Linked DNA regions of Caenorhabditis elegans. The protein of the gene in region 1 purifies or fractionates together with the protein of each later gene. This does not show direct contact. Each region holds a gene or a part of one and is shown in the gene's direction. Other genes may lie near its edges. The genes, in order: urm-1 and homt-1.

Region 1 (3,176 bases):
GTTGAAGACGGAGCCAACGCCATTTTCTTCGGCCCAGCTGTCACTGCTTCTGGAGCCGGAGGTATTGGTGGAGGAGCTGTTGGATATGGAACACGAACTGGAGTTGATGGTACTGCTGGTGAAGGATCTTGTGGTGCTGATGGATGTGTTGGTTGGGGATGTGATGCTGTTGTCTGGAAGGATTTATTTATTTTTTGAGGGAAAAAAAAGGTTTTTTTTTAGGAAAATTTATTTTTAAAAGTTTCCTAAAATTTTGGTCATTTTCTCAAATTTCAATGTTTTCTTTTCTTTTTTCATCAATATAATTTTAAAAAATTGCATTTTATGTTATGAAAAGTTTTCCCGATTTTTTGAATTTTTCGGAAAGTCGAAAAATTTTCGTTTTTCAAATTGATTTTTCCTCTGAATTTCTCCATATTTCCAGTGCTCACCAGCTCATCAGGATGAGTTGCAGTGACATGTTTCGGTGGATCAATTACAGTAGCATACGTGGAGAACTGAGGAGCCGGGATGTTCACATGATGCTCCGACATATCTGAAGAAATTTGGGATATGGGGGAGGATTTTGAGCAAAAAAGAAAAGAAATTAGATATTTTAGTATGTTCAGAACATTTTAGAGAAATTAAAAAAAGGAAACATAAAAATAAATATTATTAAAAAAAAACAAGAACAAAAACAAAAATCTTGAGATTCATATAATTAGAAACCGGTATTAATGATTAAAAAAAAAACAAAAAAAAAGCAAAAAAAAAGTCAATACTTCGCTCCATACGGTGGCCACAATTTTCCCTCGGCCAAAAGTTTGTCGAAAGCTCGAGTGATATGATACGGTTGAACTGGACGGTCTTGCTCATTTAGAGCTCCACGGAGCTCCACAGCTTCTTCCACAAGATCTCCGATGAACATCTGCAAAATTTGGATTTACGCGGTTTTTTTAATTCTTAAAATCGAATTTTGAAAAAAAGTTAGTGAATTTTTATGATTCTTACTTTAATTTTTCTTTGGAATCTGTTTTGAAACACTTTTCGCCCAACTTTCAGACGGTTTTTCCTAAAAATTGGCCTAAAAATCGAAATTTTTACACTTACTCAATATTTTTGCGGAAAAATGCTCGAAAATTTGACGAAACAAAAAGAAAAACTGATGATTTTAGCCGTAAAACGAAAAATTTAGAATTTTTTTTTCGAAAAACTCACTTTCGTAAGGCCAGCTACTGCAAGCGCAAGTGGATCACTGGGAATTTGTCCGGTGGTTCGAGTAATCACGTTTTTGATGATTCTTCTGTTGAATCTCGATCTGAAATTCAATTTAAATTCAACTTTAATTGCTTTTTTCTGGCTTGTAGCACCTTTTAAACGCCGTATAGCGATCCAGTTGCTCATTCGAAAAATTCGCAATCAAAAGTGACTCGGCAATAGATTTTTCCTCATCTGACTTCTGAAAATTTCAATTTTTATTCGATTTTATTCGCTTTTCTTCAAAATTTCATACATTTATCGGAGTATCTTTCTCCTGAATCCAACTTGCAGAAGATTTCATTGCAATGGAATTTGTGGACGAGCTAGCCGTCAAAATTCGCTTTCTTGAGCCACTTTTTTTAGATTTTAAGCTCAAACTCTCTTCTGAAGTGCTCTCCGGTATGAAGCTGCTGCTGGAAGCGCCACTCTCGGAGATTTTTCGCTTTTTCTGAGAATAATTAATAAAATTCGTCGATTGTTTGGCTGTTCATACCTCTGGAGGAGTATCCTTTGATAATTCAGCAATTTCGTCTTCTTCACTGCTGCAGATGAGAAATTTTAAGCGAAAATTGGCAGGAAAATTCGTACCTCATCTCCAAATCCTTCAAAACTGAGGTCGGAACTATCTCATCGTCGCTGTCACTGTCGCTGAGACCGCCAAATAGGTCATCGGCAGCTGTTTTTGACATTTTTCTGAAAAAAATGTCATGGATTTCTGATTTTCTAACAATTTTTATTAAAAAAATGAATAAAAAAGGAGGAATCCAACACGTCAATGAAAAAGAACTCTCTATCGCCTCCACTCTCTAACGCGTAGCAATGGAGCGTAGTTGCACAATTTCACCGTGTACTCCTCTCGGGCAACTTAATTTTTAAAGTTTTTTTTTTCGAAATTTATGTTTTAAAGTATTATTGATTTCAGATGAGCACAATTCCAGTCACAATTGATTTTTCCGGCGGAGCCGAGTTTCTCGTCAAAGCAAAAGCACAAAAGGTTCAGATTCCGGCAGGTACTTGATTTTTGAATTTTAAAAACGAATTTTGACGATTTTTATTTCAGACTCTACACTCCGAGACGTGCTGAAATTTGTCCGGGACAACCTCGTCACGGATGTTCACCGGATAAATATGTTGCTCAACGATGACGCCAGCGAAGTTGCTCACGGAGTGATTACCCTTATCAATGACACGGATACCGGATTGCTGTTAGAATACGATACGGTTATTGAGGCAGGGGATACGATTACTTTTGTCTCGACGCTTCATGGTGGATGAACTCGGATTTTTGCTAATTGTTTTGTTTTTAAGCTGTTTTTTAAGTTGATAATGAATTTGAAATGTATCACTTCGAAATTAGTTAACAGAGCAGGTATCTTCAACGGACGAAGGTTGCTGAAACTTTCGACGAGCGGAACTTTCAAGGGGACTCATCTTAATCGAAGAAGAAAAAACGCTTCACAGAACGACAGTTTCTAGGCATTTCCAGAAAGATGGAAGAACTTTCGAAACCGAAGACTCCCCCCTGTACCCAAAACAAAAGAAAAACACTTTTTTTCTCATTTTACAGCTTTATTTTTGTCCTGGCAGTATGTAATCTAGAAAGTTGGGGGCAATTTAGTGCTTTCCGGTGGTGGTGGTGCTGGATGGCTTCTGGGTGACAGCGTGTCCAGCAGAAGTGTGGATTGGAAGAGCACGAACGGTGGTGTTGGAGCCGGTCTTTGGAGCATCGATGGTCATCTGTCCTTCCTTGTTGATGACGGTGTGGATGTGAGCCAAGTCGACGTCCTTTGGAAGAGTGAACTGGCGAGTGAACGATCTGAAAATTTTTAATTAATTTTAATTCCAATAAATGAAAAATAAAATAAAACCAACCTCTTGCTGAACCCGTGCTCGGTCTTGACCTCGTGGTGTCCCTCAATGGTGAGAACGTGTCCCTC
Region 2 (8,103 bases), on another chromosome or scaffold:
AAATTATGCTTTTGAATGCTCGAAAGTGGTAAGAATTTAGAATTTATTACAGAAAAACGTGAAGTTGAATACCTAGAAAAGATGAAAATGTGTTTTGATACAGTGCATACAGTACTTGTTTCAAGTATAAAACTAATTTTATTAATTAAACGTTTTTCTGTAATAAATTCTAAATTCTTACCACTTTCGAGCATTCAAAAGCATAATTTCAGACAAGAATTTCCAGACTCCCAGAGGTCCGTTGCAGAATTTGAAAGCATATTCTTGTAGCCAATGATCTCAGCTTCCGTTTGGCATATGTGGCGTCTCTAGGTACCTCACCCCTAAGCTGACCTAGTCAGAATTTTCATTGATTTTTCATAAAGAAGAAGTCGTGAGAAAAACGATGAATTGATGAAAATTAAGCAGAAACGAAAATTCGAAACTACATTACTCACTGCTTTTCGAATTTAACAAAAATATTGCCATACCGAGACCGGCAACTGTATTTTTGGCGGAAAAGTATTATCTAAAGCATAAACTCACCAAAAACCGCAACTGTCGCAACAAAAGATAGCAGAATTACGAGTTTCATGTTGATTGTGTATGTTTGGCTTACTGTAAATGAAATTTTTTTTTTCGAAAGAAACAATTATAATTTTAAAAAATCATACGTTCTTCTCGATCTCTAGAACCGAAGAAGTTTGGGTGGCGCTGGAGGGTGACGCGGCAAGAATGAGTAGCTCTCGGAGCCGCCGTTCAGGCCACGCCCTGCTCTAGGGGGCGGGCATGCGCAACAAGGGCCGTCACGAGAAAGAGAAGGAAAAAATAAGGATGACCTATGTGCCCTTCTAGAACATTGAAGATAATCAAAAGCGATGAAAAATTGATGACGTCATCAGCTCGCCGCGAAAAAAGAGCGGCGTTGCGCGCCAAAAGTGTGAAAGACTGAAAGTGTTATCAGTACCATGTAAGATAGGGGGGGGGGGGGGGGTTTATGTCGAGAAGGCATACACAGGTGGAGTCTTTCAAAATTAGACACAGAAATTATTGGAGAAGAATAGAGCGGGGCAAACACTATTTTTGGGTTTCCGTGTTTTTTTTTCCGCTTCGTTTTCTCTTCCAGTGACGCATTGTCTCTGAATTGGAAATACAAGAGTCTCACCTATACCTGGAGGCCTCCATGGAGGTCGTAATGTTTGTCGGAGTAGAGTTATTACGGGAAAATATTTTACGCGCAAAATATCTCGTAGCGAAAACTAATGATTACTGTAGCACATGTGTCGATCTACGGGCTCGAATGAAATTAAATTAATTCAAATCATTTATTTATTTATTTAGAATATTAATTGAGCGAAAAAATGTAATTAAAAATTCATTCCTGAAAATCGAGATTCCGTAAATCGACACAAGCGCGCTACAATAGTCATCAGTTTTCGCTACCTTAAAACTTGCAAATTTCCGCGACTTTTCAAACCAATCAGCGACTTCGAACTCCGCCTACTCGATCTGATTGGCCGGAATATGGGGCGGAACGAATCTCTGTTCGGTCGCAGTTCTAATTTTGGAGGGAGTTACGGACATAATTTAATAATAGATTAAATATTAGAAGAAAACAGAAAAATGGCAAAAAATACGAAAAGACTATACCAAATTGAATATGGCTGTCACAATTCGAGCAGAAATTCGTTTCGAGAATCGAGCCCGTAAGTCAACACAAAGGCTACAGTAGTCTTTTGAAGAATTGCTGTAGTTTTCGCTGAGCGTCAAATATGTTGCAGCAATGAGAGTTACAAACTACAGTACTCTTTAAAGGTGCATACCTTCACATTTAACAAAAATAGTCGTGTCGAGACCGTATGCCGTAAATCGACACTGATAGCCGTGGCCTAGTTTTCCAGATTTTTCTTGTGTTTCTCTTCCATTAAAAAAACGCACATGTCTGTTTATCTTTCTCGTAATAATTTTCCCGATGAACTAGTAAATATAAATATCTCATTTCCAGTATCATCATCATATCCGTGACCTCTCGTCTTTTCGTCACAAAAGTCTCCAGATTGCTCGGAGCAGCTGTCACAACATCAAAAATGAGCTCTTCATCATCTTCTAGAATTCACAATGGTGAAGATGTTTATGAAAAGGTACAAAATCAAAAAGTTCGGCCAGCACGCAAATCTTTTGCGGAGAATTTTAGACCAAAAATTAAAAAAAAAACCGAAACATTTTTTGAAAAAAAACTTTTTTATTTAAAATTATCGAAAATACTAAGTTTTTCTGAAAAAAGCTGAAAATTTGAAAAAAAAACTCTATAACATGTAAGAATTTTTGAAAAAAACTAAAAAAAAAATTTTTAAGTCTCAAAACAATGTTTTCAACTATTCTCTTTCAGGCGGAGGAATACTGGAGCCGCGCGAGCCAGGACGTCAACGGAATGCTCGGCGGATTCGAAGCGCTTCACGCGCCCGACATATCGGCGTCGAAACGATTTATTGAAGGACTGAAGAAAAAGGTATAGAAATCATCGATTTTTCAGGAAAAGCAAGAAAGATCGGTTTAAAAAATTATGAAATTTTATTTTAAAAATCGAAAAATCAACAAAAAAAATCGAAATTTTAGAATTTTTCTAAAATCGGTAGTTTTCGAAATAAAATAAAAATGTTATTTTAAAAATTATTTTAAAAAATTTCGAGAAATTCAAAAATCGAACAGAAATGTTCGATTTTTTGCTACAGTGCATTTTTTTTCCACTTCTACGACTTTAAAGGGGGGCGCATTTATGCGGAAGGGTCTTGCCGTGCACATAGTCATCATTTTTAACAAAGTCTGCTCAAAATTCGCGGAGATCACGCGTAGATCACAATTAATTTGTGAAAAAGCAACAGAAATACGAAATATGGGATAAATATTTTGTGATCTTCATGTGATCTACGCGAATTTTACACAGAAACTGCTAAAAATGATGACTAAATGCGCGGCAAGACCCTTCCGCATAAATGCTCCCCCCTTTAAAGTCGTAGAAGTAGGAAAAAATGCACTGTATGGTGAATTTGAAAATTTTCTAAAAATCCGAATAATTTAGTATATTGGGGTTTCGACGAAAAATGCCAATTTTTCAGTAATTTCTGGTCTTTTCTAAAAAAATCTACATATTTCAGATCTCTTCCTCCTTTTCCGAGTTTTTTCGTTATTTTTTCTAAACTCACAGTATATTAGCGAATTTTCAACAAATTCGACAAAAAATTCTGACTGTTTTCTAGAAAAAAAAAAAGGCGGCATGCGCAAGTTTCAAAATTTGCCGCACACCTCTGGGCATTACCTTGAAAGTATCAATGGAAAAGTGTCGCAAGATTTAATTTTCTGATATTCCCCCCCCCCCTCCCGTTTTACTTGTTTCTAGGTTTGAGTTTACTTAAATTAATAACAAAACTGGGAGATATATGCTCGAAAATTAGACAGAATCTCTGCCTGGACGATTTCTAGGCTACGCCGTCATTCCCATAGTTTTCATAATCTTTCGGCTCAGTGATCGAAGCTCGCCGCGCCAGCCGGCACAGTAAGATTTAAAATCAGGTTATCACCCCATGCGTGAAGATTTTTTTCGTGTTTTTTGTCTGAAAAATAATGACAAATCTGTGTTTGGGTAGGCCTAATGAGGTCACCTGATTACGGCTGATGAGCAAAGCAGAACTTTTTTTGCAAAAAACTTATCATTGGGGGGTTCTGAGAAATAGACGAATTTCTGAGAAAGTTATGAGAAATAAATAGACGGCCTAAAAACCCCATGGCCGAAGCTTTTTTCTAGATAGCATAATGATGGCCTAGAAAAAACTCTACCACTGGAGAAACTTAATCGGTGTGCTCATTTTCTACCTGGTCGGGGATTTTGGAAAACTTTTCCACACCTCGTAACGACTTGAGGATAACTCAGCTCTGTCGAAATAGCATCCTGATGGCCTAGGAAAAGCTCTTCCACTGAAAATGTTTGGTCGTCCTGTCTATTTCTCTCATGGTCGAAGATTTTCAAAACTCTTCCACAGCTCCGAACGACGACCTGTAGTCACGATCAGGATTTGGAGGTCAATTCTCCTCGTACGATATCTTCTCACCTGAAAACTAGGTGAATTCCGTCGTGTGGAGCCTGAACGCTTCCCATTTTCACGTGACCGAAAATTTTGTAAGACCTCTTCCACCTCGAATTTCTCGGCAGAAGTGGGGTACTGTAATCTCAATTTTCTGGCAGATGCTCCAAAATGTTAATTTCTGTAATTTTCGAATTTTCGATGCACCATGTCTGAAATAATACCAGCTGGAAGAGTTTTCCAATTTTCTAGGCTACGCGGCAATTTCTGACCTTTTAGAAAGTTGTTGCAATATAGGTTTGCTATGAAAAATTCAATTAAATCTTTTTCCGAGTCTTCTTTCCCGGAAATCAAATAAAACGCCGAAACTTTTTTCTCATTTTCTTTTGATGGAAAATGAGAAAACACGGCAGATTTTCAATATTACTTTGGCACCCAAAACGCTTTTTGTTTTCAGAGAATGATTCTTTCTTGTTGTTTGCCAACGCACGCCACACATTACCACATATGACGAATCTTCCGCTTGTTTCGAAAATGACTTTCAATGGGGAGAGAAAGGGGAATATTCTTGAAATATGAGGCAAAAGTTGCGATTTTTTTGGAGTTGACTGATGGGAAATGCGCATAAAAAGGCGGTGAAAGGCTAAAAGTTTGTAAATCTGGTGTAAAAACTCGGATCCTAGAAATATACCCAAATTTAATGAGGTCTGAACTGAAATTTTCTGTATTTATTTTAAATTTATTATACTCAGAGAAGGAGTGAAGGTTCGGAATTTTTCTATAGACCCTATTTATTTTCCTGATTCCGAATATCAATGTGAAAAAATTAAAACAAATTTTCCTCATTTTCATAAATTTTTGTAACCAAGTGTGAAATTCAAACGACAATTTTTGTCGCTTACAAAAATTTATATAAAATCAGGGAATTTTTTTTGAATTTTTCACATTGGTATTCGGAATCAGAGAACATAAATAGGGTATATAGAAACATTTTCGTTTTCCTTTATTTTATAAATTCTGAAATTTTCGTATAAACCACGACACGGCTAACAAATTTGCATGAAAGTTTTTTAGCCTTAAAAAAAACAACATTGAAAGAATGATGAATAATGGTTTTTGACGGAATATAGGCGATAAACGCCAAAAAGTGTCTATCGTATAAATTTTGAGACTGACGGGGGCTATACGTTTATGAGCCGTAGAAAATTTTATTTTCATCAAATTTTTATGAGATTAACATTCGGTCGAACATATAGGGGTTTTCAAACCCCGATTTTGAAAGTATAGGCCCAAATTGTGCTCAAATAAACGAATGTCGTAATAATACTTCTCAAAAATGGTTCAAAGTTTTTTATGTGGCTCAAAATTTCGAAAAATGGCCCAATTACCGAAATTAGACTTTTCGGCAAACGGGAAAAACGGCAAATGCAAAATATTTTTGCCAACTTGTGGGTTTGCACATGTTTTTTTGTTGGAAATTTCAGAATTTCAATTTTTAAAACAACAAAATTGTCCTACATCTATTCTGAAAAGTCAGTAAATTCTATAAAAATATCTGAAGAAAACGGGAAAAAAAATTCAAAAAAGCACTGTGTTTCCGTCTTAATAAAAATTCCTTTGAGAAATTCCTGCAAATTGATATCCGGCAAACGGAAAATCGTCAGTTTGCCTGAATTGAAAATTAAATTTAAAAAAGGTAAATTCGGCGAACCGGCAAATTGTCGTTTTTGTCAAATTTTCGGCAAATTCAGAAAATTGACAATTTGCCGATTTGCTTGAAATTGCCGGTCACCCCTGGGCCAACTTTGAATTTTATAAATATTTTCCAGAATCTATTCGGCTACTTTGACTATGCACTGGACTGCGGAGCGGGTATCGGACGTGTTACAAAGCATCTCTTAATGCCATTCTTCTCGAAAGTTGATATGGAAGACGTCGTCGAGGAGTTGATCACGAAAAGTGATCAATATATTGGAAAACATCCACGAATTGGAGATAAATTCGTCGAAGGACTGCAGACGTTTGCACCGCCCGAACGACGTTATGATTTGATATGGATTCAATGGGTTTCAGGGCATTTGGTTGATGAGGATTTGGTTGATTTCTTTAAAAGATGTGCGGTAAGCACTAGATAGCACTGAAAACTGAAAATATGTTGAAAGTTTATAAATAAGAGGGGGTCTTATTTATTACGTTCATAAATAAAGCATGTAGTTTTTAAACAAAATTCTAGGTAATTGAAATGCTTTGAGTAAAACAGAAAAAAAAATATTTTCGATGCTCCGGTTATTTTTTAAGCGAAATAAAATTGGATTCTTTCTGTAATGAAAAAATAGTAAAAAACAATATTCAACCGAAAAAACTGAGTCTAGAAAATCTGTATCGGTTAAAATTTTTTTTTAAAACAACAATTTTTCACATTAAAAAGTCAATTTCGTACATTTTTTCCGATTAAAAATTTAAATTTAAAAATTAAAAACATTTACTTTTTCGATTTTCTTTCAAAAAAAACCACTGAAAAATCCGGAACATTCGGATTTTTTTTCAATCAATACGATCTCCTTGATTTACAACCTGTTTTATTAAATTTTCAATTTTCCTTTTTATTGAAAAAATCGGGTTTTTAAACTTATGTCCGGTCATTTCCCTAATTTTCAATTTTAAAATTAAACTATTTGCTTACCTGTAATTACAATTTTGACCACAAAACAGAAATTGAAATTTTTCGATTTTTCAGTTTTTTAAAAGATAAAACCCGAAAAACGTGCAGGCCTGGTGGTGGACTCAAAAGTTGAGAAATCTCTGAAAACTGTTTCATTTAAAATAATTCAATTTTTTTAAAATTAATTTTCATTTTCAGAAAGGACTGAAACCTGGTGGATGTATTGTGCTCAAGGATAATGTGACAAATCACGAGAAACGGTTATTCGACGATGATGATCATAGTTGGACGAGAACAGAGGTGCTGGTTTGAGAAAAAATAATAAAAACTTTGAAATTAAAAAAAATTCACAAAAGGCTCATTTTACAAATTATTCTGCAAAAAAAACATTCGAAAACAATTAAAATTTTGAAAAAATGAGAAGGGTGTGTCGATTTACGACGAATTTTTGGACAGTTTGTACAGTTTAAAAAATTTTTGTTTTTGAACCAGTTTTGCCAATTTTTCAAATATTCGCCGAAAAACGGTTCAAATTCACAAATTTTAGCCAAAAACTGTATAAACTTGCCCACGTGTAGTACAAAATCGTTAGTGAATCGACATGCATAAAAAACGCCAAATTCCGAAATATTTAATATTTAAAATTAAAATTCATTTAAAATTGTTGTTTCGTCTCGAAATTTAGAAAATATATTCTGAAAAAGGACATATTTCTTTTATTTTGCCAAAAATTTCAATGTTTTCACCCAGACTCGAAATTTCGCGATATTCGGGTCAAAAATACTGTAATTGGGGTCTCGACACGACACGTTTTTGCGAAATTCGAGCAGGCGTGCACCTTTAAAGAATACTGTAATTTCAAACTATTGTCTCATAGTTTTTTGTTGAAAAGTGATTTATTTAAAGAGAAAAACTATGAAAAATATATGAAAATTCCACAGAAATGAAGTTTTTAAACTACAGTACTTCTTAAAGACACACGCCCGTTTGTATTTCACAAAAATTGTCGTGTCGAGACCCCACTTACTGTAATTTTAGCGCGAAAATCGCAAAACGTCACGTTTGGATAATATCGAAGACAATTTGCACGAAAACAATTTTTTACTAAACATTTTTTAAAACAATTCATTATTCAGCCCGAGCTTCTTAAAGCGTTCGCCGATTCTCAACTGGACATGGTCTCGAAAGCACTGCAAACCGGATTCCCAAAGGAGATTTATCCAGTAAAAATGTATGCATTGAAGCCTCAACACACCGGATTCACCAATAATTGATTTAAATATCGATTTTTATTCGTTTAATTGCAATTTTCCCGAAAATTTCATGTTTTACATGCGTGCTCACGTTATTTCTGTTAAATAAATGTTAAGCAATATTTTAGAT

What was found.
Region 2: the proteins of urm-1 (region 1) and homt-1 fractionate together in Caenorhabditis elegans (co-fractionation; one large-scale study listed by BioGRID). This does not show direct contact.

Annotation. Positions count from the first base shown.
Region 1 is NC_003281.10:10,503,319-10,506,494, forward strand, and holds urm-1 (Ubiquitin-related modifier 1 homolog), read left to right. Parts: upstream 1-2,161; coding exon 2,162-2,249; intron 2,250-2,299; coding exon 2,300-2,514; 3' UTR 2,515-2,581; downstream 2,582-3,176. Other genes in the region: Ras-related protein Rab-33, read right to left, coding at 1-173, 432-533; taf-11.3 (Transcription initiation factor TFIID subunit 11), read right to left, coding at 755-907, 1,198-1,297, 1,350-1,438, 1,493-1,687, 1,733-1,781, 1,828-1,928; sip-1 (Stress-induced protein 1), read right to left, coding at 2,854-3,055, 3,112-3,176. UniProt on the Caenorhabditis elegans protein: Acts as a sulfur carrier required for 2-thiolation of mcm(5)S(2)U at tRNA wobble positions of cytosolic tRNA(Lys), tRNA(Glu) and tRNA(Gln). Serves as sulfur donor in tRNA 2-thiolation reaction by being thiocarboxylated (-COSH) at its C-terminus by MOCS3.
Region 2 is NC_003279.8:4,112-12,214, reverse strand, and holds homt-1 (Alpha N-terminal protein methyltransferase 1), read left to right. Parts: upstream 1-1,984; 5' UTR 1,985-2,066; coding exon 2,067-2,120; intron 2,121-2,368; coding exon 2,369-2,488; intron 2,489-5,887; coding exon 5,888-6,178; intron 6,179-6,918; coding exon 6,919-7,020; intron 7,021-7,856; coding exon 7,857-7,994; 3' UTR 7,995-8,099; downstream 8,100-8,103. Other genes in the region: nlp-40 (Peptide P4), read right to left, coding at 526-574. UniProt on the Caenorhabditis elegans protein: Alpha-N-methyltransferase that methylates the N-terminus of target proteins containing the N-terminal motif [Ala/Pro/Ser]-Pro-Lys when the initiator Met is cleaved.